Astyanax mexicanus: one gene and its partners. The protein of the gene in region 2 purifies or fractionates together with the protein of the main gene of each other region. This does not show direct contact. Links are inferred from orthologs where the notes say so. Each region holds a gene or a part of one and is shown on either strand. Other genes may lie near its edges. The genes, in order: usp36, gnl2, krr1 and rpl35.

Region 1 (7,959 bases), on a different chromosome or scaffold from region 2:
CAGGTTTTAACAGATTACAGCACAAATCTGAGACTATTTTAGAAAATGACTAACACAGCCTAAACAGTACTTCTATTAACAAGATACATAATATTAAATGTTAAATTTAGGCAAGATGCAGACAATAATGTGAAAAGAATATACAATATAGACCAGGAATCCTGTCAGACATAGGCAACTAGCTCAGCTATTTTAAGGCTAAAAACCCAATATGACTAGTTGGCAACAGTGCTAACGTAAGCATGTTTTCTAATGCTATACTAATGCATTTTGCCTAAACCTGTGGGAAACATTAGCAACCTAGCTAGGTAACCTAGGTTGCTATAACACTATATTAAAACAGCAAAGAAATATTAAAAGATTAACTTTAAACTCGATAATTAAATAATAATGTCACAGATTAGGGTCGAACACGCGAAGAATCCTGTCAGAAAAAATGATCGTTAGCAACAGTGCTAACGCAGGCATGTTTTCTACCTTAGCTAGTCTATATTACATTATATCAACAAGCGACACAATATTAAATAGTTTAGAATAAGTTTTACGCTGTATAAATATATAATATAAAAAATGGAGCCTTACGGACCAGAAATCCTGTCAGGAAAAGGACCATTTAAAAGCTAAAAAGCCAAAATGACTAGTTAGCAACAGTGCTAGCTCAGCTTAACGCAGGCATGTTTTCTACCAGAGCTCGTGCACTAGGAAAGCTAGCAAGCAATGCTAAGCTAACGTTTTCGTTTTCTGGTGCCTACGTTTAAACCTGTGGGAATTATTAGCAAGCTAACTAAGCTAGCTAGCTCACTTGTAGCAAACTATATGACAGACCAACGAGCTACGCAATATTAAAAGATTATATTTAAGATAAATTTAATAAACAGACAATAATGTCACAAATTGGGGTCGAACATGCCAATAATCCTGTCAGAAAAATTATAGTTAGCAACAGTGCTAACGCATGCATGTTTTCTACCATAGCTCGTGAACTGGCTAACCTACCAAGCTAACTATCCTGACAGAAAAAAATATATTAAATAAACATTAATTTTCCTTTTCTAATGCATTAAAACAATATTTTTATCCAGCTTCAGGACTGATTTAGTTGTGCACACCAATCATACGTTGATACAACGTTATGTCTGTTTTATATTGAACTTTACTTAGCTACATAACTAACTTACAACGTGTAACATAGGTTGTTATATCGTGTAAATCGCAGTCTAAATAGACATTTAAACAATAATAATTATTATAATTAATTATATAATATTAACTTTCTCTAATAATTATATAATAATTTATTATAATAATTATAATAATTATTACTATTAAAAAAATAATAAAAAAAATATTATTTGAGAAGAGCACTAATATAAGCTTTTATCTAAAAGCATTAATGTGAGAGTAGTTAGAGTAAGAGCTAGAGTAAGAAAAGTCACAGCCATTTAAAACCTTTAAATGAACGTAGATTCAATGCATCTTATGTATGAATTTTTACACGAACCCATGCATTATTTTAGGCAATGGTTTATAAAGGTTGTTTAGATGTTGTTTTCCCATCAACTCTAAAAAAGGTAGGTAATGCAACGTTATTTAAATATTAAATGTTAATGTTTTATTTGCTCGCAGGGTGGTTCCACTGACAAACAACTACTAATCCTAATTTTAGCTAGCAGCATTAAGAACAAAGTGACAGTATATGTATCTAGAACAGGTAGAATTTGTCCAAAAAGTCAATATATGTATATGTATTTAGGAACACATTTAGCTGTAGCAAGCCACCTAACTAAACCCCACGCTGGCTACTCGTCCACACAGGTGAGGCCAAACATCAGCATCATACTCAACCACATGGCAGCGACTAGTCTGGATCAACCAACCTAGCTAACCTAACACATACACCAAAGCATAACATATATAAACTGATTATTCGTCCATATATAGGTTAATATGACCATATTTATATTTCCCTACGACACTAAAAGATACGGTGGTACAGGTATAATTATAGGTATAGATATTTAGCTAAAACACAGCGCTGCCTGGCCTAGCTGCTGCTTCCACAACTACTACTGCCTTACAGTGTACGAACACGGTGTTATGTCAATATGTGCTACCCCGCCAAAAACTGCTACCATAGTGTATTATTGAAATGTATCTAATATAGCTACTAAAATACGACAAGAATATTACACCATATTAAAACAACATGCTGTTTTCAAATATTTAAGTAGGATATGTGGATAGTTAAAAAGAATCTGAATTAAAGTAAAAGTTAAAACATTACTTTAGTTAGAGGTAGAGGTGATAATACAATACACATATATTAAACTGTTCAAGCAAATAATGACACTGGAGTTTTTTAAACTCTCTATAGCATGATTTTCATATTTGTTGAGAAAAATAATAAAATAATAATAATAACGATAATAATAATGATAATAATATTAATAATAATAATAATAATAATATTAATATTAATAACAATTAGAAGAAGAAGAAATACCACTGCTTGTCATGTTAACCTTGTTATGTAACTGCATATTTATGTTGCCCTGAGGCAAAACAAACGAATACATAAACAAATAAATAAACGCATAAACAAAAGATACGGTTTTAGTAAGACAATGAAAACAAAATAGCCAAAATATTAATAATTAAAAAAATAATACACATTGAAATGACAATGCAATAATATATATACATAAAGCAGCACCATGATATTTAGGTTTAATGAACCCAATGAAAATTATAGCTAAATCATTTATCATGGAGAAAACATTTTTTCTTCACAAAAATAAACACACCAGCGCATGCGCAGTGTAGGTAGGGAGCACATTTTGACGGGTAGCGCAATTTGACGCAACACCCCGGATCCGCAGCTGCGCCGTGTGCAGTACTGCACCACCACCACCACCCCGCCGCGGGAACGGGGGTTTCTTTATACCGATAAACCGAGCACGACACGAGCCGTTCACTGGAGATAACGTTGTGTAGATGTTTTAGTATGGGTTAAAAACACCGTACTGTACATACCCATCCGCGGAGCAGCCGGAATCGTTCAGTCTGCGGTACTATAAAGACCATCGGCGGCTCTGAAGTCCTTCATTTTGTTGCGCTCTCTCCCCCATGCTGCATTATCTGAGGGCGGGGCCTCCAATGATGAACGGAACACACCAGCCAATCAGCTGCGGGGAAAAGTCTGACGCGGCGCTTCATTCATATTTCTGTTGACCAATCAGAGGACGAGACTCAGCCAGCGACTGCTCTGATCACGTTTTCTTGTTTACTATGCTATAGGACATAATGTCCAAAAAAATAAAATTTAAACACTATAGTTCACTATATATATACAGCTCTGAAAAAATAAGAGAGCACTTAAAAATGATGATTTTCTCTGATTTTACCAAATTGAAAACATCTAGAGTAAAGGCATAAGGTTATCCAAAATCAGTGTGTAAGACTGGTGGAGGAGTTACGGTGGCCGAGAAAGCCCAGCGCAGTGCAAATTGAAAAGCGCTGCAAAAGCACAAAACACATCCATCAAAATTACAACACAGGCGCAGCAAATAGAAAAACGCGCTGCAAAAAGAAAAACGCGCTGCAAATAGAACCACAACACAACGGAAGTGGGTCACAACACAACGGAATTTTCCCGGGGGACCTTAAAAGATGCTGTACCAGCTGTATACAAAGGACAATAAGTGGCAAACAAGCTTCTGAAAAGTAAGTTATGTTTATTAAAAGTTCTGCTTCACAAAACGCCTTGTTTGCCACTTTTTGTCCTTTGTACACATAGTGAAGTCCGAGATGTTACTGAAGACGCAGCTTAGCTGGTACAGTATCTTTTAAGGTCCCCCGGGAAAATTCCGTTGTGTTGTGACTCACTTCCGTTGTGTTGTGGTTCTATTTGCAGCGCGTTTTTCTATTTGCAGCGCCTGTGTTGTAATTTTGATGGATGTGTTTTGTGCTTTTGCAGCGCTTTTCAATTTGCACTGCGCTGGGCTTTCTTGGCCACCGTACTACAAGATGCATGGAAAAAACTGTGATTAAAAAACAGGGTTATTCCACCAAATATTGATTATTTCTGAACTCTTAAAACTTTATGAATATGAACTTGTTTTCTTTGCATTATTTGAGGTCTGAAAGCTCTGCATCTTTTTTGTTCTTTCAGCCATTTCTCATTTTCTGTAAATAAATGCTCTAAATGAGAATATTTTTATTTGGAATTTGGGAGAAATGTTGTCTGTAGTTTATAGAATAAAACAACAATGTTCATTTTACTCAAACATAAACCTATAAATAGTAAAATCAGAGACACTGATTCAGAAACTGAAGTGATCTCTTCATTTCATCAACTTAAGTGGTCTCTTTGTTTTTTTTTTCCAGAGGTGTATATACACGTGAGTTTATATTGGCTGTGTGCCATATCATATCGTACACAATAATATTGCCAACATTTTTTAATATGGTGAACGATATTATACCCTGAAATATCGTACTATATCACCCACCCCTAATTAATTATCACATCAGGGCTCTACTTTTATACTGTTTTTATCAAAAGAAAAATTCACACTGTTCTCATTTCCCATTATGTATCTACTACAGACAGATTATATCTGTCCAGTATAATTTATTTTACTTTAATCCTGAATATATGGAGATATTTGAAGTGCATTGTTATTAGTATCATGGCATTCTGGATCATTGACTTCTGTTACAAATCTGATAAAATTCTTGTATTTTTTATATCTCAGTTAGGGGTACGTCATATATCGTATTGCAATTATAAAATTAAATTTTTATTTTGTTGCAGTAGTGCATTTTTTATTTTTTATTTAGTGTTTTATCGTATCGCCAAGAGTATTGTTATTGCAAAAATACCATGAAATATTGTACAGTACCGACACAGTACAGTCTAAATGTGTTTATTGAGGGGGGGTTCAGTTCCGTCTCTGTGTGTTGAGGAGTCTGACTGCCTGGTGGAAGAAGCTGTTGCAGTGTCTGGTAGTGGAGGCTTGGATGCTCCAGTATATTCTCTAAAACACTCTAGTCAAATATGTTTATACATACACACAATAAGAGTCCTTGGGCAAGACTCCTAACACTAAATTGGCCCAACTCTGTAATAGGAATAACCTGGTAAGTCACTCTAAATAAGATCATCAGATAAATGCTATAAATGTAAATGAAGTAAAGTAAAATTTAAGTCTAAAGTTGCTATTTTTAAATATAAAAAAGTAAGGAAAGTCTATATAGAGGTTTCAACTTAACAAAAAAGAAACAATATAATGTATATCACACAAAATCCCAAGACTCCATTAAGTGCTTTTCTTTTCCTTTATTTAAAACTGTTAAACCAACATGAATAATACAGAATTATGAAAGGCATGCACAGGTTAGCTCTCAAAGTCTTCCCAAGTGGTTCCAGCACCGGAAATCTCACACTTATTTATTTTTGTGATACTAAAAAAAGAAAAACAAAAAAAAAAACATTCAAACATTTGAAAAACAAACACAGTACAGGAGCATAGAAATAAAAAATACTAAAAAAACAATACCATGATATACAAAATGACTACATTAAACATAGGCTTCACAACCTTTTCCACACAATTGACGTTTGAATGTTGAATGTTGAAGATTATCGGACTGAAAGACTGGAGGAATACTGGAAATTATAAACATTAATCGCCTCAACTCTGGTTTAACTCTTAACAATAAAAACACAAAATTATAGAAAAATGTAAAAATAGGAATGGGGAAAAAGGGTATTCTATTTTTATTGTGTGAAAAAACAAGATAATGGAATGTTTAGATATAAATTAGAAATGTTTGTATATATATATTACAACATACATAAACTAGCATATCACCAGATTGCATTATTGTCATAAATTTTAAAGGCGTCCTATAGTAACATTACTTTACATTACATAACTCCACCTCCCGAATAGAGCATTTATCTAATCATTATCATCTTAAAAGCATTTAGCATGGATTAGATAAAATAACTATTAGCAATTTTTCATGCTTGCTGTGATTTAATTACCTCCCAAATATAAAAAATAGAAAAACGCTAAAAGTGGTACTAGCTTTTTTTAAAAATGTATTTTCTCTACAGCGTAAGGTCACAGCCAGGTGCTACTGGGGACTCAAAGTGCTTAAGAAAGTCCGAGAACTTCACCTCTGCCATATCCTTTCATCTCGTGTTATGTAACAGGAACTGTGGTGTAAAAGTACTAAATACAGGTGAAGAAGGGCAGGATTATGTTAAAGGGTCCGTAGCAGTGTTTAGAGGCCTTTCTAAAGCGAGCTCTGGAGTGTGCTGCTGTCTGCAGGTTTACGGATCCTCGATGTCCATGAAATCGGTCTTGGGCGGGGCGGCGCCGCGGTACCAGGCGCAGGAGTTATCGTTCCTCTTTATGCAGGTGTAGTGCTGAGTCTGGGGACCCGCCACAGTGCTCTCCGTGATCCAGTCCGTCCATAGACACTCTACTGGATCATTAACCGCACAGGGAACAGAGGCACAGCGAACGATCTGTCAGAAAACGCATGAGAGAAACAGACGTTACAATAAAGTACAAAGATTAGAATATTATATATCGCATTTGCAGAGTTTCCTCTAACATTAGGATTTTAAATGCCAAACAATGACTGATTTATTTTGTGTTATATAACATCAGAAATAAGGATACAACGAATATTTGGTAAACGGAAACATTTAGACAAAAAAATGGTAAAAAGTATTTCCTCTAACTAGGAATTTTAGGACGTTTTGAAGGCAAACTATCAAATCAAATCATCAAATCAAATTTATTTGTATGGCGCTTTTTACAACTGATGTCAAATTAATCTGTGATCACATTGCTGTAAACTGCTTTGTGACATCATATTGCAGCATTTTCTCTTACATTAGAATTTTTTAAAAGTCAAACAATGACCGATTAATTTTATGTCATATTGCAGAGTTTCCTGTAACCTTACGATTTCTTAAGTTAAACAATGACAGATTTATTTTATTTCATATATTTCAATGTTTTCTCTAACAGTAGGATTTTTTAAAAGCTAAATAATGACAGATTTATTTTGTCATATTGCAGCACTTCCTCAAACATTAGGATTTTTTTAATCCGGACAACTACCAACTTATTTTACGTCATACTGCAACATTTCCTCTAACATTATTAGGATTTTTTTAAAGCAGCAGCTGGTGTTAACAACGTATCAACATAGGTTATGTATTGAATAAGTATTGAAGTATCAACACATTTACAAAACTATATATATATATATATATATATATATATATATATATATATATATATATATATATATATATATACACATTTTATCTGTCTTTATTATATCTAAGAGGTTTTTAACAGTGCTTAGGCCTGTTTTTGCCTCATGAAAGAATTTGATTCCCTTAAACTAAAGTGGTGAGGGACCTCTGCTTCATTCTTGTAATGATGTAATGACTAATTACAATTACAATACATTACAATTCAATCAAACAAAAGTAGCAATACGCTTTTATAAACATATCTTTAAGCAGAAATCAGCAGACATGTCATGCATGATGAAAGCTCCATCATACATTTTTGTTTTCCTTCTTTAAACCATTTATTTATTTAATGTTTTTATATAAAATAATTATCACTCACACATGTTAAATTAATATAATTTCACATCTTTCATAAAACATCTTAGGGCATATCTCAGGATATAATAAATATTGCCTTATAAATACATTATTCAAGGTTTGTTAATGGGTTAATTATGAAGCCCTATGTAGAAACCCTTTAAATACAGAAATAAGGTGTTTAAATGAGCAGTGAGAGCAGGACGCTGATGTGCACTATGCTCCGGTACGTACCCTGCAGTCGCAGCCCGTCTCGTAGCGAGTCTCGAAGCCTCTTTTCTGAGCGACGGTCAGGGACACCCACGGCTCGATGA
Region 2 (8,859 bases):
TGCATATGCTGCAACAATAACAAGAAAAAAAATAATATATATCCTGTCAGAAGAGACCTGCCAGTTTAAGACAGATGATGGCTACTCACCGGGCCCTTAACCTGCTGACCAATCGGGTGCCAATGGGCACAGTGTTCAGGGGAGTCCGTGTTCATTCTCTAAAAGGTCAGACATGCTCAAAACCCAGAGAGGGCTGTAATCTCAATCCATCATCACTTTCTCCTAAATGGCTGCTAGGCAGTTTGCTGGCAGCTCGGAAAACAGATTAAGTGTGCACCAAGAAGGATGTCATGACCCTGCACCTTTACCCAGTCCAGAACGAGAAATGAAACAAACAAGCTTTCCCTCCTGCACTGCGGTGCACTTGGGTCATAGGGGGTAAAGAGGTGGGTGGAGGTCTCAGCAAGCCATCTTTCAAGTACCTCTCACTCAAACTTCTTGGAAGAAGTGCAAGAGCACATGGGGCTTCCCTGTCTGCAGCTGTTATGTAGTTCTATAAAATCTAATACATGCTGAATCCTTTATTTTGGTATAAGATTGCTTGCTAAGTCTGCTATTTATTGCGGTGCTTTAATTTGGTTTGGCTTCTGCCGTACTCCGCGTCTGCACGAGAGACCTCACTCCACTCTCAGAGTAAGATAAAACACTGGATGTCAGTGTAAGCTCTGCAGACTTGTTTGGAAAGCTGTGTTGGACAATGTCTGTGCAATCATGTGATTAACAGCGATTAAACAATGAATTAATAAACAATATAAAGTATTATTGTTTGTAGTATTAGTTTATTTATATGAACATTGCAGTGGCATTTACCTACACAGAAACTAAAGTAAAGAGTAAAGAGTGAGTAATGATAATTTATCAATTTTGCAAGCTAATGCCTAGAAATGTATTAGACAAATAGTCTAGAGTCAAATCTCAGAACAGTCATAACCCTGTCAAGACATAAGGTACTCCTGAAACTTATCCAAGGCAACAGGGAGACCAATAAACAAAATAGATACCCATTTCATGAAGAAAAAAAAGTGTTTTCACAGACAGACATAAAGACCAATATACCAATATAATACCACAATATAATAATTATTATTATTGTTATTATTATTATTGCGTTATTACTATCTATGCTTTTGCCATCATTATGTTGTTTCCATGCTACTATTATTGTGTTGGCATTGTTATAACCATGTTTAGTTATGTAAGGTTATTACTATGACCATGTGTTACTGTATTTTTCAATGTTATTATGTTATTACTATGGTATTACTACTGTATTATCATTACAACAGTGGTCGGGGCAATACAGAAGTTTTTATAGCCCTGTCATCCCACTTAAGATCCATCCATAACAATGTTAAGTTGGGCAATGTAACAGAAATAAGGTACAAATTATGATGGTATCTCCAAATGTGTACACATGCTCTTCATAGTTGCCAGTTTATCACACTAATTACAGAAAACTAAAACAGAAAACAGGCAAACCTGGAATTTACAATTTGCAGCAGGTGCCTTTAACCAATCAAAGCAAGATATGAAAATAAATAATGTAATGAATCCTATTATTACTACCTAAAAGGAAGTTAGCGAAACTATCAATGAATTGTAATGCTGTGTACTAGGGGTGTCAAAAATATATTTGTATTGAGATTTTTGTAAAAAGATATTTGTATTAAGACATAGGTGTTTAAAACTTCCTCAGACACACCCCAATGTTACTTAGTGAAGTTCCTGCTTCACTACTCACTACTAATTTCTAGTATTTGCTTTATTAGGAGTTTTTCATCCTCTTAAGTAACACAGACACTGTTAAGTATCATACAGAATTGTCTTGTGATATATAGAGTATCACAGAATCACAGTAATGTGATATACTCGCTATTGTGCACTGTGTACCATGCTATTTTTTGAAATTACGTGACAGTATATAAAAGTGTGTACAGCCTAATCCTAGCTTAATGTATCAGATGTATTCACCAATATGAAAACACCAACTGAGGAAAGATTTTTGAAAGCATTGTGTTCTGTTCCTTGGGTACAGCTGTATAATTGATGCTGAAGCACATTTAAATTGTTCTTGGGGTTTTGTGATGACCCATCATCATATTGCCTTTGTCACCAGCCTGGAAGATACTGAGTTCAGCTACTGTCAGTCAGTCAGTCAGTCAGTCAGTCAGTGGGTCAAAAATGTGATCTTGTTTGTTCTTTACTATAGATGTAAATGATGGGGTAATGGCGTGCATATAAAAATCTCTTTGAATCTGTTGGACTTAACAAAACTAGCAAAACATGGTACTTTCAATATTTTAAAAAGGAGGAATATTTAAATATTTTTGAGGAATTTATTACCCAGTAATCAGGGGACCTGCAGTCATCATACACAAGTTCAAATAAGAAAGTATACACAACATTTCCTCTCAAATATAAACCTTCTTGAACCTTTACAACGATGCCCAAAATTCGATTTTAGCCTTTTAGCTTGTTTTTAATTCCTGTGATTTCTTGTTTACTACATGTTGTATGTTGTAGAAAGATGATCTGAAGAGGAGAAATAAATCTGAAAATAATTAAAAAGGATTTCTTGCTCTTGTTTTTGGTTGAATAAGACTATGGCATGTACTTGGCAAAAGGGGGAGCTGCCGTGTCTGTGATTGGAGTGCATTTGTGGCACATTTCTGATGCTGTCAGTTTCAATCCTGTCCATGTGAAAGTGAACAGAGAACATTCCACGGTCTGGACTCTTCTACTGTAGGAAACCGAAGGCTGAGGGTACATTCAAAACTGCCTGCGCTGTACCACTTAGTTAATTTCCCCAAATGTTGTTTTGATCCGGTGCATAAACTTGGACTCTAGGGAAATGTACTGGTATTGTAAACAGCGTCCGATGAGAAAACAGCATTTCATATTCGTAAACATGTGGGTAAGTAAGGAACCCTCAAAAGAGGGCAGAGATGATTATTGCATTGTTAAAGATTATCTCTCATCGTTACAAAGACTTACAAAATTCCTAGAAAAAAACAATAGCAACAAAGCCAACATAAACCGTAAGAAAATATTTGGTAGGATGCTGCAGTATCAGTTTTCCAATGCCACATTTAGCTATACATTGGACAGCATCCCAGTGAGTAATTACTAGACCTATGCATGTATGCCCTCTTCTGGATACACTGAAATTCTTTCTGTTCACACAATCAGCTCTAATATTGGAGAACATTATTAATTATAAAATATTTCATTGCAGTGAAGTAGGTAAACTACTGGTAAAATGTTGTTTTATTGAATAACTGGTAAATGTTTTATTGAATTTTAAGCACTTAAACTCCACTGAACTGGTGCAAGTCCTCAAGTGGTAGAAAGCTTTTTACTTAGTAAAAAGTAAGTAATTGTTCTTAAATAATGGAAATTAATGCATTAAGGAACTTTTCAAGTCAACTGCTCACAGGTTCTCTGAAGCAATTAAAAACAAAATGTTGATCTGGACTTAAAAAGACACTTAACAAATAAAGACAAACAGGTCCTTAGAACAATTGTATGTCCTACCTTCAGAGAAATTACAAATAAAGCAGATTGAGGTATAATTTACCACGCCATCAAACAACATTTGGATACAGGAAAAAGCAAAAAAATCTGGTACAAGAAAAAGTTTGACAAACTCAAACCTACAACAGCATCAGAAGACAAGTTTCTACCAGTCAAAAGCTTATAACGACTCTTATTAGAATACCGGTTTATCGCCCACCATCAGTGAATTTTAATAGATTTTTAAATTAATTTAATTAAAGTGTTCTTTAAACAATATGACAGTCTTCACAGAATGTGCTGTAATTATATTTCAACTAAACTGTATAGGATGAAGGGTGCAATGTTAGAGAACCACAACCTTTCCTTTTTATTATTAATTATTTTATAAATTCATATATATTCTTCTAACTTATTACTTATTAATTTCGGGAAGCTAATGATCTTTAATTAGCTTTTTTTACTGTCACAATGAAACAAGGTGCTCAAAATTATGAACTAATAAGTTAGAAAAAGAACATATATAAACATAACTTTTTATAAATCATATAATGTAGTTACTGTCATGTGGAAATATATAGCTTTAATTAAATAACTCGCTCATCTTTTTTAATTGTATGTCATTAAATAACAACGATTAATATTAATATTATTATATATAGGAAGAACCTTTCACCTTAAAGCATTTTTAGGTTTAGAATCCTATTAAGCCATGTTAAATAAAGGTTATTTTAAGCATGTTTTTCCATAAGTAACATTAAAAGATGTAATGAAACCAAAAAATATATATATTCATTTAATGTTCTTTGCTATCAGGGTCGTAGAATGAATAAGTTACAATTACCTAGTTATTGGTTTAGTTTGTTTATTTATTTTTTAAACTATATTAGTTTTTTTTTTTTTTTTTTTTTTTTTTACAAAAAAATACAGTACCAGTCCAAAGTTTGGACACACTTCTTAATCTCTTTTATGATTTTTTTTTACACTGTGAATGTAATATTGAAGATTTTAAAGCTATACAGGAACACATACTGGAACGCAATTATTGTGTAAACAAGTGTTAAACCAACCGTAAAAAAGTAAGAGTGTTAAACCAACCGTAATATGTTTTATGCTTTAGATTACAGTACCACATTTATCTTTGAGGACAGATCTGCACACTCTTGGTATTTTAATCTCAGTGTTTTCATGAGGGAGAGTCACCTGGAATAGTTTTCTTAGCATCTTGAAGGAGTTCCTGGAGGTGCTGAACAATAGTTTCTGCTTTTCCTTCATGCTGTGAAGCTGCAGTTCATCCCAAATCATCCATCTCAGTTGGGTCTAATTGAGACTAACTTTTTTCCATCAGAATAGAGCATAAACCAGCCAATGTATAGCTTTACAAGCCAATGAAACAGTCGCTTAGCCCCGCCCACTTCACTGAAAAAAACGGCAGCTCATGCATTAGAGTGTCATAAATTCATAAGTGATAAGTTAAAGGAGGGTAAACAATCACAAGGAAAGCCATGAACAAGACTTTGTATCATAAAATAATAATAAACATTATTAATTAAGTTTTCGTCCATTTTTCCAGTTTTTGTTTTTTCATCTCTGCACCTCACAAATGAATTTTCAGGACATATAATAATAAAAAGCCTTTTCTTTATTTACTGATTTTTCCTTTTTTAATTTTGCAAGGATTATAACATCAGATTTATGTTACAAGATACAAAAATGGACAAATCTGAAAATCGAGAGAAGATTCTCTACAATTGAGAGATTGTTTTCTTGAAATTCTGTTTGCGAAAGACTGAAATGAAAAACTTGATATTGAAAAATTGGATGAAAAACTTTTTTTTCATTCTACTGAATAGGAAAAAATAATAATTAAGTTTTATACCCAATTTTCTATTTTCAAATTTAGCTTAATACAGTCAGAAAATTAAACTGCTAAATGTACACTGACCTCTAAGATTACTGGGTGTCTTAGAGCTTTTAAAGAGGGAAAACTGTGAACAAAAAGAAATGTGTGGAAAAAACAGGCAGTTGCAACGTGTTTTTGACTAGTTTCACGATAATAAACTCAAAATTAAACGCAATATTTCCTACTTATTTCACAGTCATATTTTTGTTTGACCAGGTTCGTCAGGCAGTCGCTCGGCTGATGACGCGTTTGTGCGCGTTTCCGCCGGGCTGCATGTGGACCTGCAGGGTAACACGTGTGAGTGAGGGAAGAGAGCGGAGCGGATCTGTCCGATTAATCACAACAGCAGGACTCCTATAGACCTGATCAACATCTGATCAACATGACCAAACCCAAGTTTAAAGGCAGGAGCTCCATAAACCCCTCAAACTCCAGTTCAAACCCCGGTAAGATACGGGTTTAATCATTTCAGCCTAGATGTAAACAGCTAGCGTTAGCCAGCAGGCTAGCTGTGGTCCGAAAGTGCATAATGCTGAGATTACTGACTTATGAAATCATGCGGGATGTATTTATGTGTATTTGTAGGATTTATACAATTTATTTTCGCGTTTCTGCTATTGTGTATTTCTGCGCGCGAGCTGACGTTTTGCTAGTTTTGTTAGCTAGCTTAGTAAAGTCACGGAGTCTAAAGCGTCAGCTAACGTAAGCTAAATGTCTTGATTTGCATCTATTTCTTAACGTAAGCAGTTTTTCCTGTCAACGAGCAAAGTGTCCGGCTCTAATAGATCGTTTATTGTTTATTATTATTATTTTATGATAAAGTCTTGTCTATGGCTTTCCTTGTGATTGTTTATCTTCGTTTAGCTCATCCGCAATGAACTGATGTAGCTAAGCTAGGTTTAGCTAGCTTTACCTAGCTAACCTAAACATCTCTTTTAAGTATGGTTGGTGTTAGAATCAATTACTACCAATTATATGATCTGAATGGAATATGCGGTATCTAGCAGGTGGCAATAACTATAGATCAGCCATAACTCTTGTCATGAATATTCAGCTTTAAAAAAAAAAAGAGACAACTTAAAAATGCTGAGTTTCTTTGATTTTACCTAAATAAAAACCTCTGGAATATAATCAAGAGGAAGATGGATGATCACAAGCCATCACACCAAGCTGAACTGCTTGGATTTTTGCACCAGGAGTGGCATAAAGTTATCCAAAAGCAGTGTGTAAGACTGGTGGAGGAGTGTGATTAACTGTGATTAAGAACCAGGGTAATTCCACCAAATATTGATTTCTGAACTCTTAAAACGTTATGAATAAGACCTTGTTTTCTTTGCAATATTTGAGGTCTGAAAGCTCTGTGTCTTTTTTTGTTGTTTCAGCCATTTCTTATTTTCTGTAAATAAATGCTCTAAATGACAATACTTCTATTTGGAATTTGGGAGACATGTTGTCCGTAGTTTATAGAATAAAACAACAGTGTTCATTTTACTCAAACATATACCTATAAATAGCAAAACTGAGAGTGAATAGAGAAACTGAAGTGGTCTTTTATTTTTTGCCAGAGCTGTATATGAGCACTTTGTAGGGTCATAGTCTATAAACTATAGGACTAAAGCTAGTGTGTTTCTCTGTATACTTTCTTAGCCTTTTTTCATTCTGTTCCTAAATGGTCAGGATAATCATACAGCAGGTATTACTATTTGGGTGCATTGACAGTGACATGGTTGTGTGTTAGTGTGTGTTGTGATGGTGCATGGTGGATCAGACTTAGCAGTGCTGGCGGAGTGTTAAAACACCTTAGTGTCACTGTTGGACTGAGAAATATCCAGTCACACACAGCAGTGTCTTGTAGGCAGCGTCCTGTGGTCACTGATAAAAGACTAGAAGATGACTAGCACAAACTGTCTACAAGGTTCTACAAGGTTGTTTGTGGTATTGTGTAATAGAGTGGACAGTGAATGGACAGTGATTAAAAACTCTCAGTGTTTAGAAAAGATCTACTTGTACCCCCACAAACACACTAACACACATGCCAGTTCTGACCACTGAAGAACGATGTGTACAAGTCTACAGTATAACACTATTTTATGGTTGTCTGTTGATATGAATTTTGCTCAACAGCTTCTAATTAACATCTCTTTTTTTTCTAGATCGAGTAAAGGGGACTGGAGGAAACAACATGAGGGACCGGGCCACTATCAAGCGTCTGAATATGTACAGACAAAAACAGAGATGGTAATCTTGGCTTTTATTCTTTAATGATGACACAAAATCAGTCTGTGTTGTGCTGTTTGATCACATTTATAACTATAAAACAGAATTATACAGTATCTTCCTGTACACTTTTTTTTACTTAACTAACAAGTATTTGTTGTTTTTTTTGTATTTTCTCCCCAGCAACAATCGGGGTAAAGTCATTAAGACATTACAGTACCAGTCCACTGTGGCTCCTGGAACTGTAGCCAGAGTTGAACCCAACATCAAGTGGTTTGGTAAGTTTATTAACTGTTTCATATGTATTATAAATTATACTGTTTATGAGGTACAATTATGTTACATCACGGTACAATTACATTGAAAATACTGCATCACTTCTGTTTGGCTTTAACTGATCCAAATTAACCTGTCCAGTTTTGTTGCACATTTCTGATGGAAGAGATAAGACCTTATGCCGACAGTTTGTGAAAGAATGCAAAACTTTTTTTTTTTATCTCTGTTTTGGGTTTTTTGACACGTTTTGAATTTTGCTATAGTTTTTCTTACATTTAGCAAAAAAAAATATGATGAATGGACCTATAGAAATGCTCCAAATTGACTTTTTGGAGACAAATTGTATATGAACTTGTTCAACACTATGCATAAACTTACAACTCAGCAATTAAAAGCAACTTGAGTAAAACAAGTCTGTAATGGTGCAGAAATTATCTTCAGGGGTAATATTAAGATATACCTGCTTAATTGCTGTGGAAATTCACATGAATATGAGAAATGTCACACAAAATCTGAAAATTAACAACAAAGATTAAACTTTTTGTGCCATTACCTTCCCCATATATTGTATCTATTTCAAGAAATTAAAAAAGTCAGAATTTGTGCAGTTACAGGATCTCAAAAACCATGAGTACACCCCTTACATGTCTGCAAATATTTTATTATATCTTTTCATGGGACACTATAGAACGCCATAGAAATTACACTTGGCTTTAACTTAGAGTACTAAATGTATAGCTCGTATAGCAGTATAGATCTACTGTTGTCTAAAAACTCAAAACACAGCAATTAATATCTAAAAAGCTGGCAACACAAGTGATTACACCTACTAGTGTTTAATTGTGATGTCAGGCCCAGTGAGAGAAAACGTTGGACTGCTTTTTAACCTGTCTATCTCCTCTGATGCTTCTGCAGCTAATACTCGGGTCATCAAGCAGTCGTCCCTGCAG
Region 3 (7,747 bases), on a different chromosome or scaffold from region 2:
TCATGTTTTGGGCCGGAGTTGTGTTTTGGACCAGAATCATGGAGAGAGAGCTGGTAGCCTCTTTAGGGTCCCTAAAGATGTGAAAATGACCTTAGCAAAGTACAAAAACGTTCTGACTGATCACTTTCTTCTCTGCGTCATTGGTTGCTATGGGCAAAAAAGGAGAGAAAGTCATGGTGTGGCCACCATCTTCCTCTGACCTCAACCCTATAGGGAACCTTTGGAGTTTCATCAAGCACAAGATATCTGAGGGTGAGAGGCAGTTCAACTCAAAACAGCAGCTCTGGGAGGCGATTCTAACATCCTGCAAATAAATTTAGGAGAAACTCCCCAAAAACTCAAGTTCAATGGATGCAAGAATTGTGAAGCTGATATTAAAGAAGAGTTCCTATGTTAACATGTAACTTGGCCTGTTAAGATATTTTTGATTGAAATAGCTTTTGATTTCAATAAATGTGACCACTTAATGCTTCAAATAAAAAAAATACCATTTGCAGAACATATATAATGTTTTGAAACTCATTTTTAGTTTTTTTTTATTATTACTGTTATCATTGGGTGTGTTTATTTAATAAATTGGATTTAAAATTAACGGGTCATGACTTGAAATTATACTGACTGTCATTTGCACTGACCACTTTGGAACAGCTGAGAAAAAGATCCCTTGCATAATAGTAATATTACACTAATATATATATATTACACAGTAATATTTATCCAAGTGGTTTATATGGTGTACCCTTAAGTCCAATATTACAACACTAATATCTGCTCAATCCTATATTAGAGCACATAGGTCCAAAGTTACAGTACTTAGCTCACCTTTAGCGTAGAGCCTTTAGGTCCAATCAGTCTCTGTCTGCGCTTCACAAAGCGTTCTCTGTTCCGCACCAGTGTCCCGATCTTTATTATATCGCACGCCATGTCGTCCTGCAGAATCCTCACAGCCTGAACATTCAGATATCAGATATTAATAGAGAAACATTAAAAATAAATAAGCTGCAGTTACTGTGTAAAGTCCTGAATGCATCCAGAGTGTACTGACCTGCTCGAACGGGACGCTTCTGGCCAGCAGTTTGATGAGGTCCCGCGCTCTGAGGATGGCGTACGGGTCAAAGGTCTTTTTAGTGGTGCTGACAGTGATGCTGCCCTCAATCAGATCCAGTGAAGCATTTATAAACTGCAGCAAAGTATCAGATTAATAAAAATCCACAGTTTAGATCATTCTAAAGATCGAGTTTCAAACTGCAGCACATTCACCTTAAATAATGCAGTGCATCTGCCTCACACACAGCCGCACATCCTCCATCTTTCTACACCTTCTTAAAGCTGGCAATAATGTGTCTAAAGCTCATTTAACCATTACACTAACCACACATCTACCCTAGTGTCCCACAGTGTTATCTAATGTATATTGTATAAAAAAATAACTAAACAGTTGGTAAATGAGAAACTACACAACAGGTGACAACAAAGCTTGTTAGTGTCATATAAGGTTCCGTTGTATCTTGTATCTCGATTTGCCTCATAGCTTTGGTTCTATGTTGTACCAGTTAACGGGTATCCATGTTTTTGGGTCACTCACAATCTCTCCGAGAGCTTTCTGCACCAGCGGCCAGCACTCCTTCAGATACGCCTCGCGGTATTTGGGGAAGAGGGTTGCGAAGCTGCTCTCCTCCAGCAGCCCCCGGGGGTTATCCGCCCACGTAAACTCCGGCTCCTTCCATCCATCCGGAACAGTCAACAGCTCCAAATCATCTATTACACATTAATATTCCAGAAGATTTCATTTACTTTCATAATAACTAATAATAAAATTATACTCTATTAAAGAGCAGTTATAGACATTTAATTGAAATATAACAATGTTTAAATATCTAAAAAAGAATGAAATAAAATGCAGATAGTCCACAATCTGGCTCACACAAATAAATGTTTTCCCCTCATTAATAAAGATGCACAGAATATTCAGCATCTGCAAATGTTGGGCAGAAAATACAAAAAAGGCACTTTTATTGTGTTGCTGTTAAAATATTATCATTCACATTTAATAGATACAATTGTGGTAAAAATTATTAGAAAGTGTTAGTAAATTTATCATTTATTTTTTATCCTGATCACAATCAGATCAAATAAGGACTTTTATAATAGAGAAATGCAACTTAAACTACAACAATATTTTCTAATATACCAAAAATGATTTCCACCTCATTCTTAATATACTAGTGCATCTAAAAAATAGAATATGTTTGAAAAGTTACTTTTTTCTTAAGTAGTTCAGTTCAAAATGTGAAACTCATATTATAAAGATGTATTACACACAGAGTGATCTGTTTTAAGCATTTATTTATTTTATTGTTGGCTTACAGCCAATCAAACACCAAAATCAGTGTCTTAATAATTAATACTTAGAATATTATATAAGACCAATTGGTACTTTTGGCAGTGTGCCAAGTCCTGTTAGAAAATGAAAAAAGTTAGCAGTTAGCAGAGTGAAGCATAAAGTGCTGTAAGATTTTCTGGGAAAACAATGCACTGACTTTAGACTTGATAGAACACAGTGGATCAACATCAGCAAATGACAGGTCTCTCCAAACCATCACTGATTGTAAAAACTTCACTCAAGACCTCAAGCAGCATGGACTGTGTGATTCTCCACTCTTCCTACAGACACTCTTGATTTCCAAATGAAAGTTACTGATGGTTAGTGATGGTTTGGAGAACCATGTCATCTGCTGGTGTTGGTCTATAGGAAAATACAGACTACGATCTACTATGTTATTATACAATTAAATGTCAAAATAAGTAATACATGCAAGTAAAAACATTTATTTTAATTACGACGTGTTTGAGCTTTTCTATTATTATTAATATTATTGTTATTTTTATTATTATTATTATTATTATTATTATTATTGCTTATCGATTACTAGTACTATATTTAATAATATTGCATCTAATTCGGTATACAATTTAACTAAACTTTCTGACCTAGCTTGTTTTTTTTTTTTTGAGAATGGTCCGTTCCACCTTAAATTCTCCAGGGTCAGGCTAAGGGAATTTAAGGTGGAACGGACAATTCCAAAAAGAACTGCAAAGCTTTTGCTGAAAATTTTCTGATCTAACTGTAAATATTTATACAGAACCTTCTCTAGACGCCCAAATCATCAGTAAAAGAATAAAAATAATTTAAAGATAGATTAAATTTAATTAAATAGATGTTGTCAGGTAAACAGTGGGGACACAGAGCAGCACACTGCTCCGGCCCTGTGTGTACCGGTCAGTAAAGGTCAGTACAGGTGAGTAGAGGTGTAGTGTGTGTGTGTGTGTGTGTGCAGCGGTACCGGAGGGCTGCTGGTTGGCTCTGGTTCTGTTTCTGTTGAGTTTCTGATCGCCTCTCTCTCTCACGCTGCCCTCTGCGTGCGCCGCCATTACTGCTGATTCTTCTTCTGCTGCTTCCTTTAGCGCTGCTGCGTGTTTGAACGCAGTGAGACTCACAGCGACCCTTCAGGTCAGAGGACAAACTACTATGTATTATTATTATAAGTAGTAGTAGTAGTAGTAGTGTTATATATTTTTAAATTATTATTTTATTTTATTTGTGTTCTGTGTGAATTTGTATTAGTAATATTTTGTTATTAAATTAATTATTTACTAAACTGATTTCACTCTTATCAGATAGAAGGGCAGTGTGTAATGTTTAAGGCTAAGCATAATAAGAAAAAAAATATATATATTATTTTTCCAAATTTCTCTCACTCACAATCAGAATTGCATTAAAAAAATACAGAAATCTTTACTAAATTTCCTTATTTTCTCTTCCAGTCTAATGGTATAATCCAGAAAACGTTTGTTTCCAGATGCAAACATGAAACATTAGATGATTGAGTAAATATTTTAATATACATATTTTTTTTTACATTTTCTCTGAATTTCAGATTGTACAGGGCAGACAATTATTAATAAATTAATAACTAGAAAATTGAGGAGATAAATGAAAACCCAAAATAAATAATAAATAAAAAATAAGATGTACACACAGTTTATGTTTTTGCATTTAGCCTAAAACCGTCAATGTTAAACATAATACAAACAATACACATATCTTTAAAAATTAAAATTTAATTTATTAAATCACAAGCCATTTTCCTTATTAAGTTTAAAATATTATATTAATGTCAACTTTTTTTCTTTTACTTTTTTTATCAATTAACTTTTCTCCTTTTTATTATTGTTATATTATTTTATTCTAATTACTTAAATAGTTTTTAGTGATTTGTTTTTATTTATTTATTTATTTATTTATTTTTACAAATCCATCATTTAATCCCAAGCAGCTGATTAGACCTTAATACTCTTTTTATACATTTATATATACATATATTATTTTACTGTTTACTTAATAAATGAGCTTAGCTTAACTGTCTCAATGACACCAAGCTTTGGAGGTTGTTTGTACTTTTTCAGGAATCAGGAAGGTCAGAATGTTTTCATCAACAGTGAGAGCTGTGAGGAGGACGTGACCCTGAGTGGCAGAGAAGCTTCACTGCTGTTCTGGGACCAGTGTATATGAACTAGGAGACAACAAGCTATCTGAGTGAAGTGCTGGGAACCTCTCCTCAGATAGCCAGCGCTTGCCTGTTCTACACGGTATAAAGTCGCACACAGGCCAGAAGATCTTTCCATCCACTCTTTTCCTCCGTTTCATCTTCTCACAGACTTTAGAACACTTAAGGATTGTTTGAAACACAAGGACTGTCTGCTGTGTTCATGAAGGACACAAAGCTGAACAACACCATGATAGGAACCTGTTGCTCAGACAGATTGAAATCGATTCAGGAAATTAGTGGCGATATCCATTCCTATGTATTATATATGTTAGTATACCTGAACACAGAATTTCTGCAGACTTTTGTGAATAACTGACAGTTTTAGTTTTATGACAGTCACACCAGGGATTTTTTATTTTTACTTTATCCCACACAGGGGCCGTACACACTAACTACACTGGTCAAGAACTAAACAGCTCCAGCTGAACACACTGATCTCTCATAAATAGCAGATTACTCATTGATAATAACAGTTCTATACAATAATAACAATTATAATAACAAGATTATATTCTTAGTAACATAATAATAATAATAATAGATAGATAGATAGATAGATAGATAGATAGATAGATAGATAGATAGATAGATAGATAGATAGATAGATAGATAGATAGATAGATAGATAGATAGATGAGGACTAAGTAACAGAGCCGATCTGCAGAAACAGAACTGAGCCTGGAGATCATGAGAATCTGCTTTAGTCTGTTAAGTAAAACAGAGCATGTGCTACTAATTACATGCTCAACAAACACACACATGTACACAAGTACACACACACACACCGTGCAGTAGCACTGCCCCATCTGTAATTGGAATCATGCGCGCTGATGCTAACCCAGCCCACACTGAAGGTTGTGGAAGACCAGCATTAGCGCAGAGTGCACTAGCATTGCTGCATCTGCTGGAACACTGCTGACCTTTGTTCCTGTGATGACTATGGGGGTATATTGGCCTGCCCTGGTGGTGTGTGTGATGGTGTGTGCGATGTGTGTGACGGACAGGACCGTGTCTGGTTCCGAAGAGCACATTAGTGTGGCCGCTGTGATTCGCAGGGTCACCGCGGGGGTCCTGGTCCAAGGCCGGCCACTTGGGGACCCGCAGACCACTGGGCCAAGAGTCCTGACCAAAGATGGGATCATTAGAGGACTGACCGCTGACTCCGCTCACATATTCTACAAAATCCCATTTGCTGACCCGCCTGTGGGGGCATACCGATGGAGATACCCCAGACCGGTCACACCCTGGAGAGGAGAGCGGAGCGCCTCGGCCCCCGGACCGGCCTGCATGCAGCGCTGCTTTGGACCAATCACAGACAAGTGTCCGAAAACGGTCAGAGGGCATGTGTGTGTGGCATATTTATAGATTTTACAGACACATTATTATTAATATTATTATTAGTAGTAGTATTATTAGTATTATTATTGTTGTTGTTGTTACACAAGCAGTGTTATTTAATTTAATTATTTATTTATTTAATTTTAATTTTTTGTGTGTGCTTGGCTGCAGGTGAGTGAGGACTGTCTGTATCTGAATGTGTTTGTTCCTCTGAGTGTGAACTTTAGCGCCCCCCTGCTGCAGCTGCCAGTAATGGTGTGGATTCATGGTGGAGACTTCATTGCAGGCTCCGCCTCCAAACCGCTGTATGACTCTCGGCTCATCAGCAATTTCACGCACACCGTGGTGGTTAGCGTGGCCTACAGACTGGGTAGCAAACCCCCTTACCCACCACGCACTCTCTCTCACACACACACAATACATCATGTTACATTAGTTTTACTCTGGCTAACTCTCTCACTTTTTCTGTAGGAGCCTTTGGTTTTCTGGTTACAGGGACAAACCCCAGATCAGATTCAGTGGGAAATTATGGGATATTGGACCAGCAGGCTGCTCTGCTTTGGGTCAAGCAGAACATTGCAGTGTTTGGGGGTGATCCCAGCAAGGCAAGAACACACACATACTTGTAAACAGACCAGCATAAACCAAGATCATTATAGACCAGCATAGATGAATATAGAGCAGAAAAGGACAGTATACACCAGCATTGATGAGCATAGAGCAGAATAGGACAGTATACACCAGCACAGACGAGCATAGAGCAGAACAGGACAGTATACACCAGCACAGACGAACATAGAGCAGAACGGGACAGTGTACACCAGCACAAACGAACATAGAGCAGAACAGGAAAGTATACACCAGCACAGACGAACATAGAGCAGAACAGGACAGTGTACACCAGCACAGACGAACATAGAGAAGAACAGGACAGTATACACAAGCACAGACGAACATAGAGCAAAACAGGACAGTGTACACCAGCGCAGATGAACATAGAGCAAAACAGACCAGTATACACCAGCACAGACGAACATAGAGAAGAACAGGACAGTGTACACCAGCACAGACGAACAAAGAGCAGAACAGGACAGTGTACACCAGCGCAGATGAACATAGAGCAGAACAGGACAGTATACACCAGCACAGACGAACATAGAGCAGAACAGGAAAGTATACACCAGCACAGACGAGCATAGAGCAGAACAGGACAGTGTACACAAGCACAGACGAACATAGAGCAAAACAGGACAGTGTACACCAGCACAGACGAGTATAGAGCAGAACTGGAAAGTATACACCAGCACAGACGAACATAGAGAAGAACAGGACAGTATACATAAGCACAGACGAACATAGAGCAAAACAGGACAGTGTACACCAGCACAGACGAACAAAGAGCAGAACAGGACAGTATACCCCGGCACAGACAATCATAGAGCAAAACAGGCCAGTATACACCAGCACAGACAAACAAAGAGCAGAACGTGACAGTGTACACCAACGCAGATGAACATAGAGCAGAACAGGACAGTATACACCAGCACAGGCGAACATAGAGAAGAACAGGACAGTGTACACCAGCACAGACAAACAAAGAGCAGAACATGACAGTGTACACCAGCGCAGATGAACATAGAGCAGAACAGGACAGTATACACCAGCACAGACGAACATAGAGAAGAACAGGACAGTATACACCAGCACAGGCGAACAAAGAGCAGAACAGGAAAGTATACAGCAGCATAGATGAATATAGAGCAGTACAGGACAGTATACACCAGCACAGACAAGCATTG
Region 4 (7,961 bases), on a different chromosome or scaffold from region 2:
GTGTGGTAAGCAGGCAGTACGAATTTTAGTTTCATATTTAAAAACATGCTTTGCATACACACAATACTATTATAGTTGGATTAAAACACATCAGCTGTGCATGGTCTAGTGTGATCACTTTGAATAATTGACTTGAGACGTGTTTTATTAACAAATCATAAAGTAACAACATATTTAAAACTACTTCTATCAGTATCATGCATTCTTATAACTTCAGAAATACCCCAGCCAAAATGAAAACTGTTACGAAATGTAGATTCACAGCAAACAGTCATGGCCAACAGTGTTGGCACCCCTGAAACTATCTCTCCTAGAAAATGATTGCAATTACACGTTTTGAAGTATATAAGGGGTCATTCTCCAGCTGGACTACAGCAGCAAGTCGCTTGTAGCTGCAAGTCCATTGTAGATTTTGTTTTAGATCATTGTCTTGTTGGAAGATAAATCTCCATCCCAGTCTCAGGTCTTTTGCGGACTCCAACAGGTTTTCTTCCAGAATGGTCCTGTATTTGGCTCCATCAATCCTATCAATTTTAACCATCTTCCCTGTCCCTGCTGAGGAAAAGCAAGTCCAAACCATGATGCTGCCATCACCATGTTTTACATTGGGGATGGTGTGTTCAGGGTGATGAGCTGTGTTGCTTTTACGGCAAACATAATGTTGTGCATTGTGGCCAAAAATTTTTGGTTTCATCTGACCAGAGCACCTTCTTGTCCCACTACTACACAAAAAAATACAATTTCATATCTTTATGTTTGAAGCCTGAAATGTGGCAAAAGGCTGAAAAATTCAAGGGGCCTGTCTTTTGCAAGGCACTGTAGGTCCCAGTTTCAAAAAGCTGGGTTTTCATCCTACATCAGGGGTCTTCTAGCAGGACAATGACCCCAAATATACTTCAAAACGTGTAATTGCAGTCATTTTCTAGGAGAGATAGTTTCAGGGGTGCCAACACTGTTGGCCATGACTGTTTGCTGTGAATCTACATTTCATAACAGTTTTCATTTTGACTGGATATTTCTGAAGTTTAGAATGCATGATCCTGGTAGAAGTAGTTTTATATATGTTGTTACTGTATGATTTGTTATTGAAACACGTCTCAAGTCATTTATTCAAAGTGCTCACAAAGCCACTAGACCAGACCTGGGCATTGTACGGCCCGCGGGCCGTGAGATTGTTGGTAAATTATAAAGAAATAGTAAATCGGTCACGCTATCCGCACCAAAAACCTGTGTGCACGTCTAAACAGTGTATTACGGTAGCTGCGTGCACAGCGGAGCTGGAGGAGCAGAGGCACGCGCTTCTCCAGCAGAGACTGAAAATAGAATAGAAAATAGTTTTACACCTAAATAAAAATGATTTATCCAGATCTAATCAACTAATATACACCAGAAATACAACTACCTATCTGTAGATCAGTGTAACATTTTAGAAATGTTTGTCATATAAAATAAGCAAATCAAATGGTTATCAAATGATAACTGCTGAACATCGTGTAACATTGTTCATTGTATTTAATACGTATGTTTCCAGTAATAATACTAAAAAATAAGACAACATGAGTTTGGAGTCCTATAAAACAGAAAAATCAATGGGTTATTATATCGCACGACTAAATTCTTCTCTAAAGATCTCTTTCTCATGTAATACATTTCCAGTGATATTACTGTATCATTTTACAGTAATGGGATGCCAAACAAAAAAATATATCCAGTTGTTCACATAATACACTTGTTCATGCCCAAAACAGGCTAGTTTTCTCTCACTGAACACAAAAAAAGAACTGAGGTAGAAGAAATATACAAATGCATTTATTGCAAGTTACATGTTCATTGCATCACTGTAATGTTTCAAGTGATGCTGGTCTTTGATAAATGTCATCACATGTTTATTACATAATGAACCCACTTCTTTTTAATTTTGGAATAAATCAACTTAAAATAGACTAAAGTGAATAGAGCTAAATATTTAGTTGCAAATCCTTTGCCTTCAATAACTGCATCAAGCCTGTGACCCACTGACATCACTACGCTTTTACATTCTTCATTTGTGATGGTTTTCCAGGCAGTGTGTTTTGGGTCATTATCTTGCTGCAAGATGAAGGATCTCCCAATCCGTTTTGTTGCACATTTCTTCTTATTGACAGACAAAATGTTACTATAGACTAGAGTTTATTTTGCATACTTTCTTTCTCCAACCTTTAGCCTTTCCAACACACTGGTACAGATTCATCTTTCTCATAGGTTCTTAAGATTCTCTTGTCATAGGTCCATAATCAGTCCATAGGCTAGTCTCTGTACTTCATGGCAAACTCCAGCTTGCTCTTTCTCTTCTTTTTGTTGATAAGTGGTTCTCATCTTTTGGTGACGGTTCTGTACTTTTTTGATGAGGTTTTCTGTGAAGAGTAGAGTGTGATACTTTCACTCCTGCCCCAATTTGTTGCTGATGTCACCAACAATTGATTTAGGTTTTTCTTTGCAGCACTTACAATGTTTCTGTCATTAACTGCTGTGTTTTTCTATGGTCTACTACCTGTTCAACATCTGTTACTTCATACACCAGTGATGAGTTTCTTCTTCAGGTCTTTCCAAATTGGCTATAGCCATATTTTTACAATACATCGGATTGATTTTCCATTCTCAACAAGACAACTGAAAATGTGTGAATATTTTCATGTAGAGACCTGTAAATTATAGAAGTACAATACCCCTGTTTATCTCACTCATACCTCACACATCACTAAGGTGGAGCTAGTCCAGGAAACATGAGAATTTAGGGAACTGCTTATTTTTGTACTCCGCCTATGATACTGTCATTACACTTTCACTTGAGAAAACTGCAGCATTTTGTCTGTTGGATCTTCTGAGTTTAGATTCAAGAACAGTTCTGTCCTTTTCAGGAACCAAATATGATAGAACCACTTCTACAAAAACTTATTGACAAAAATAAGGGGAATATCTTCTTCATCTTTGTTGTCATCTGCCTTCTTTTGGCAGAAAAGTTTATTGAGGCTGATTTTGTGTGTCCTTGTGAAAAGGTCTATAGAGGACTTTTTTTCTGGATTTACCTTCTGATGCCTGCCTTTGTAGCATATGTTTCTGTGTTGTGCGTTCTAAACAACACGGATGAACTTGCTACACAAAGTAGGAGTTCTGATATGGAGTCTGGGAGATCTCGTGTAGAACTGTGTTTCCAGTTGGCAGAACGTGGAACATCTGATGTGGAGTCCCAGAGATCTCGTGTAGAACTGTGTTTCCAGTTGGCAGAACGTGGAACATCTGATGTGGAGTCCCAGAGATCTCGTGTAGAACTGTTTTTCCAGTTGGCTGAATGTGGAACATCTAATGTGGAGTCCCAGAGACCTCGTGTAGAACTGTTTTTCCAGTTGGCTGAAAGTGGAACATCTGATGTGGAGTCCGGAAGATCTCGTGTAGAACCGGGTATCCAGTTAGCAGAAAGTGGAACATCTGCAAGATCTGAGTTGGAGCCCGGGAGCTCTAATGAAGTACAGGAAACCCAACCTTTAATAAATAGGAATCACTCTGTAAGAAAGGAAATGTTAAAAAAAGTGTATATACTGCTAAAAGCTGCTGCCAATAATCCATATGGTCAGAGTTTTATGGCAGTTTTTGTATGGATAGTCTTGTTCTTGAGTGATGGAAGATATGTAGCTTGTTTTAACACCACACTACGTGGAGAACATGCTGTCAGCAGTACAAATGCTCTTTGGGAGTGGTGTGACACAAACCGGACCCTGACAGATAACCAGAATACAGCAGAGAAAGCATATTATGCATCTAAGGTAAGCTACTGATTACTGATTTACACATCAGTACAATCAGAACTGTTCTACTGATCCTAACATAATGAACATATTAAGCTGAGTTGTGTTGTTTTTTTCTGTTTCAGTTATCTGGTTTTGCTTTCATCTTCTTACTTTCGCTTTTGGCACTGGTTTATCAGCTTGCGCCTGCATGCTGTAAAAGATGCTGCTCTGCATGGATGAAAATATGCTGCGATGCAACCCCTGATGAGCTGACTGGCACAGTTGTGGAAACAGATGACGGCTGAACCAATTACAATCTTATGATTAGCAGCATTCTAAGGATGGGGATGATTTTCTTGTTGGAACATGCAGTAATGCAGAATTACATCAGGTTAATTGTTTTTGAGTTATTTATAATATACTGTTTAATAGATCATATGTGGGTGGTGTAGTGTAGTGACTAGCAACATTGGTAGGACTACCTTTCCTGTGACAGACTGGGGGGGGTTTGATTGACAGACTGAACACGTCTATGACCCTACACCAATAAAATAAAAGATCTTGGGTATGACCCTTTACCTGTGTAACATTTTGTTTTGCATGGAAAATATCAAGCAAAAGCATCATGTTGTATTCTATACATGTAAAAAAAAAAAAAAAATAGGGTGTATTTTTTGTACTGCATGTTGTATGGCATATTCAGAATCAGTAGGACTGATATGCTCTTAGTAGATTGCATCTGGAATTAGAACAGCCCCCTCACAGGTCATGTTTGGGAGTATTTGATGAGGCCTATTTCATTTTATTTTGCATGGTTGTGAATTTCCTATTACTCCTTAACCTACAGTTTTCATGTTTCCATGTTAAAACCTTAATCTGTAAGCAAGTCAGTGGCCTGCAAGTCAGTACTTGCACTAATAACTCATAACCTGTTTATACATTACCTAAAGCTTTCCATTATTTCTCTGTACAGTTGTTTTTTGTTACATTATTTGTTTGTGCTGTCCGGGTTGATCTGAGGTGGAAGTCCTTCTTAGTTCCTCTCAAGGTTTCTTCCTCTTAATATGAGGGAGTTTTTCTTCGCCCACTGTTGGCACTATCACTGTGGTGTTTACTCATAAAAGGCTTGAAAAGTGCTATATAAATGAATTTGAAGTAAATTGACTGTTCTCTGCTTAGCTGAAGAAGACTGGTATCTGAATATGATATAAGACTATAAGACTTGACTTTTTCCCCTCTTCCTCAAATCATCAAAGTACTTTTTCTGTATGTTCTTTGGGCATGTCAGGCTTAAATTTTAAATGTTTGAATAAAGTTTACTTGAAACACATTGAGTTTTTCTTCTTTTTTTTCAGCCCTACTGTAAAATACATTTGACTTATATTGTAAATTTCACTGCTAATTACCATGTGACACTAGAAACAGTGTCCAAAGCAAGATGTGAAATAAACCTTGACTTCTTCATATCATTACACAGCTTACATAATGTCAGTAAAAAGATTTACCCCCTTAAATATTATTTGCTTTCTTGTAAAAATAAACAGATTCTACGAAAAAAAAAAAACATTACATAAGGTGTAATCCATTAAAGAAGGAGTGTCCAAACTTTTGACTGTTTATTTTATATATCATATTATTATATATAAGTATATATTTTTATTCACATTTTACTACAAGCAGCATGAACAAACATGACAAACGTGTGGCAACAGTGTTAATTCAGGAAAACAAAATCTGCAAACATCGTCTGAAACCTTTAAACAATGTACAGCAGCAGTAAAATGTAATATAAGAAATATGGTGTACAGTGTATTTATATAGATGAATATAATTAATTATTAATAATAACATAATTAAAGTTACATTTAGCAAGTTTGTGATTTCAAGTGTGTATCAAACTGGTAACCCTTTGTATTAATTGGTACCCAAGAATTAGCTCTCAGTTTGAAAAAGGTTGGCGACCCCTGCTGCAGTTTATCTCACCAATGAGCAGGTTATAGAGGGGGGTTTGTTAGGGGGGCGGGTTTGTTATTGCAGGTGATAGCAAGAACATGCTGTAATTGTATATGAATACAATTCACAAAACAAAAATTACACAACACTAGGGAGGGGCCTGACCAAGGAATTCTCTAGAACACAGGAGCCTACATTCCTCGTTGTACTTTATCTGTGAAAGTTCATTTTCACTTTTGTCAAAACAACACACAGGGCATGTTAGAACAGGCAACTGCAGCATTTTGTTTAACGGTACCTTTTTAGTATAGATTCAGGAACAGTTCTATCCTCTACTGGAACCAAAAATGATAGACCAGTTGCTAGAACCATTTCTCGACACCCATAAGGGAAAGAACATTTACTTAATTTTTGTGGTTATCTGCCTTATTGTGTCTGAAAAGTTTATCGAGGCTGACTTTGTGTGCCCTTGCGAAAGGTTCTATAGAAACCTTTTTTCTGGATTTACCTTCTGATGCCCGCCTTTATAGGATACGTCGCCATGTTTTACATTGTGAGGAATGTGGAAAAGTCTGCTACGACAAGTGGAGGACCGGACAGCCAACCTGAGGGAGGTGGGAATTCTGATATTAATGTTGGGGTGACTAATGTCCCACCTCCCAGTAGTGGGACTCTTTTGGGAAAAGTGAAACTGAAAGGCAGCAAATGCTGCATAACGTCCAAAACTGTCTGCCAGTGCTTTCAGTACTTGATTCCTAGTATTGTTTGGATTGTCTTGTTCTTAAGTGATGGAAGATACGTGGCTTGTTATCGGACTGTAAGTGCAGAACATGCTGAAAGCAGTCAGCAGGCTCTTTGGGAATGGTGTGACCTAAACCAAACCCTGACAGCTGAACAGAACATAGCAGAGAAATCATATTACACATCAAAGGTAAGCTACTGATCCTTAATTTTGTTGAGTAGGTAGAATCACAGCTCTTAAATGTTTGGAATACTTATCAAACTGGTTAGTCTGGTTAACCAGCTCAGTCACACACTATTATTAAACTATCAAACATACATACTCATGAATACTCAGTGGGGTGATCTGTACTTCTACCCAAAAGACAGACACTATTTTACCTGTTTGATAAAGTTTGTCTAGGTGTGTCGGAATCTGTTTATGATCCACAAATAACCATGAATGAACTTCTTATTCGGGCTGATGGGCACTCGCATGGAGGAGGAAATCAAAGAGCAGATCAAAGCAGCAGAAAGCAGAGATAAAGTGAAATCTATGTTTAAAAGCTGTTTACAGAGAAGAGAAGGCAAAAACATGTCAGAGTCGTTGTAAAAGTTCCACTGTGCTAAAAAAACATTCATTTTTTACATCCAAAAAAATTGTAGTTGGTGTGAATCTGTCTTTACTTGATGTAACAGGGCCTTTACTTTCCCTACCAAATGTGTGTCTATGTCAGATCTAAAATGCATTTTTATTTTTAAATTCTTACTTTACATCATTATTCTTTAAATTTAAAACTTGGACATCAATGTTGTTGCAGGTTATAGTAAAATCAAACATTATGGGCTCTATCATACACCCTGCCCAAGGCATCCTTTCACCCCATCAACAATCTAGAGTCCGTTCCTATAGGTGCAAACACAGACGCTCTGAAGAGCACAAACAAGACTTTTAACTCAACAATAAACAGAATAAAATAACATTGCTGTTCCTTTAAATGACCTTCACAGCGTAAACCCATAGGTCAGTATCCTCTGCTGAAAAGAACAAAGTGCCACACTGTTAAGATACAAAAGCGTCAAAGTCAGAGTGCACCTGCCTCTTAAAAGGAATGGCCAGAGACACTGATTTGTTTATTTTACGTTACGCCCAAAACACACCCATGATTAATTAAGATAATTAGTTCATGCCTTTTGTGTGTTTCGAGCTGCGCAAGGAGTATTTTTTGCACCCTCATCGACACGCCCTAAATCCAGCTGCACAAAAAAGCTACGCAATTGACCCGTACACTTTATATCACTAAAATAGGGCCCAAATACAGAGTGAAGGCGAATGACGACACATTTAACATGAGTGTTCAAAAGAAATAGTCAGTAAATGTTAATTTGAAGCATGTTTATTGGTGAACATGTTTGTGAACAACACAACAACACATTAAGTTGAGATGTTGTGTTGTTTTGTTTGTTTCAGTTATCTGGTTTTGGTCTCCTCTTCTTATTCTCTTTATTGGCCCTGGTCTATCA

The links.
Region 1: the proteins of gnl2 (region 2) and usp36 purify together in Homo sapiens (affinity purification with mass spectrometry; 3 studies listed by BioGRID and IntAct, with this or other methods). This does not show direct contact. The link is inferred for Astyanax mexicanus from reciprocal best matches to the Homo sapiens genes GNL2 and USP36.
Region 3: the proteins of gnl2 (region 2) and krr1 purify together in Homo sapiens (affinity purification with mass spectrometry; 3 studies listed by BioGRID and IntAct, with this or other methods). This does not show direct contact. The link is inferred for Astyanax mexicanus from reciprocal best matches to the Homo sapiens genes GNL2 and KRR1.
Region 4: the proteins of gnl2 (region 2) and rpl35 purify together in Homo sapiens (affinity purification with mass spectrometry; 3 studies listed by BioGRID and IntAct, with this or other methods). This does not show direct contact. The link is inferred for Astyanax mexicanus from reciprocal best matches to the Homo sapiens genes GNL2 and RPL35.

Annotation. Positions count from the first base shown.
Region 1 is NC_064426.1:43,488,553-43,496,511, reverse strand, and holds the start of usp36 (ubiquitin carboxyl-terminal hydrolase 36), read right to left. Parts: upstream 3,187-7,959; 5' UTR 3,034-3,186; intron 696-3,033; exon of another isoform or gene 587-695; intron 1-586. Other genes in the region: timp2b (metalloproteinase inhibitor 2b), read right to left, coding at 6,344-6,541, 7,880-7,959. UniProt on the Homo sapiens protein: Deubiquitinase essential for the regulation of nucleolar structure and function. Required for cell and organism viability.
Region 2 is NC_064413.1:32,199,277-32,208,135, forward strand, and holds the start of gnl2 (nucleolar GTP-binding protein 2), read left to right. Parts: upstream 1-5,670; 5' UTR 5,671-5,798; coding exon 5,799-5,862; intron 5,863-7,569; coding exon 7,570-7,654; intron 7,655-7,816; coding exon 7,817-7,911; intron 7,912-8,824; coding exon 8,825-8,859. UniProt on the Homo sapiens protein: GTPase that associates with pre-60S ribosomal subunits in the nucleolus and is required for their nuclear export and maturation.
Region 3 is NC_064409.1:26,516,388-26,524,134, forward strand, and holds the start of krr1 (KRR1 small subunit processome component homolog), read right to left. Parts: upstream 3,474-7,747; 5' UTR 3,433-3,473; coding exon 3,345-3,432; intron 1,759-3,344; coding exon 1,586-1,758; intron 1,181-1,585; coding exon 1,046-1,180; intron 949-1,045; coding exon 823-948; intron 1-822. Other genes in the region: cAMP-regulated D2 protein, read left to right, coding at 5,544-5,942, 6,120-6,318, 6,420-6,553. UniProt on the Homo sapiens protein: Part of the small subunit (SSU) processome, first precursor of the small eukaryotic ribosomal subunit.
Region 4 is NC_064424.1:25,163,201-25,171,161, reverse strand, and holds the start of rpl35 (60S ribosomal protein L35), read right to left. Parts: upstream 3,294-7,961; 5' UTR 3,290-3,293; intron 3,231-3,289; exon of another isoform or gene 3,227-3,230; intron 1-3,226.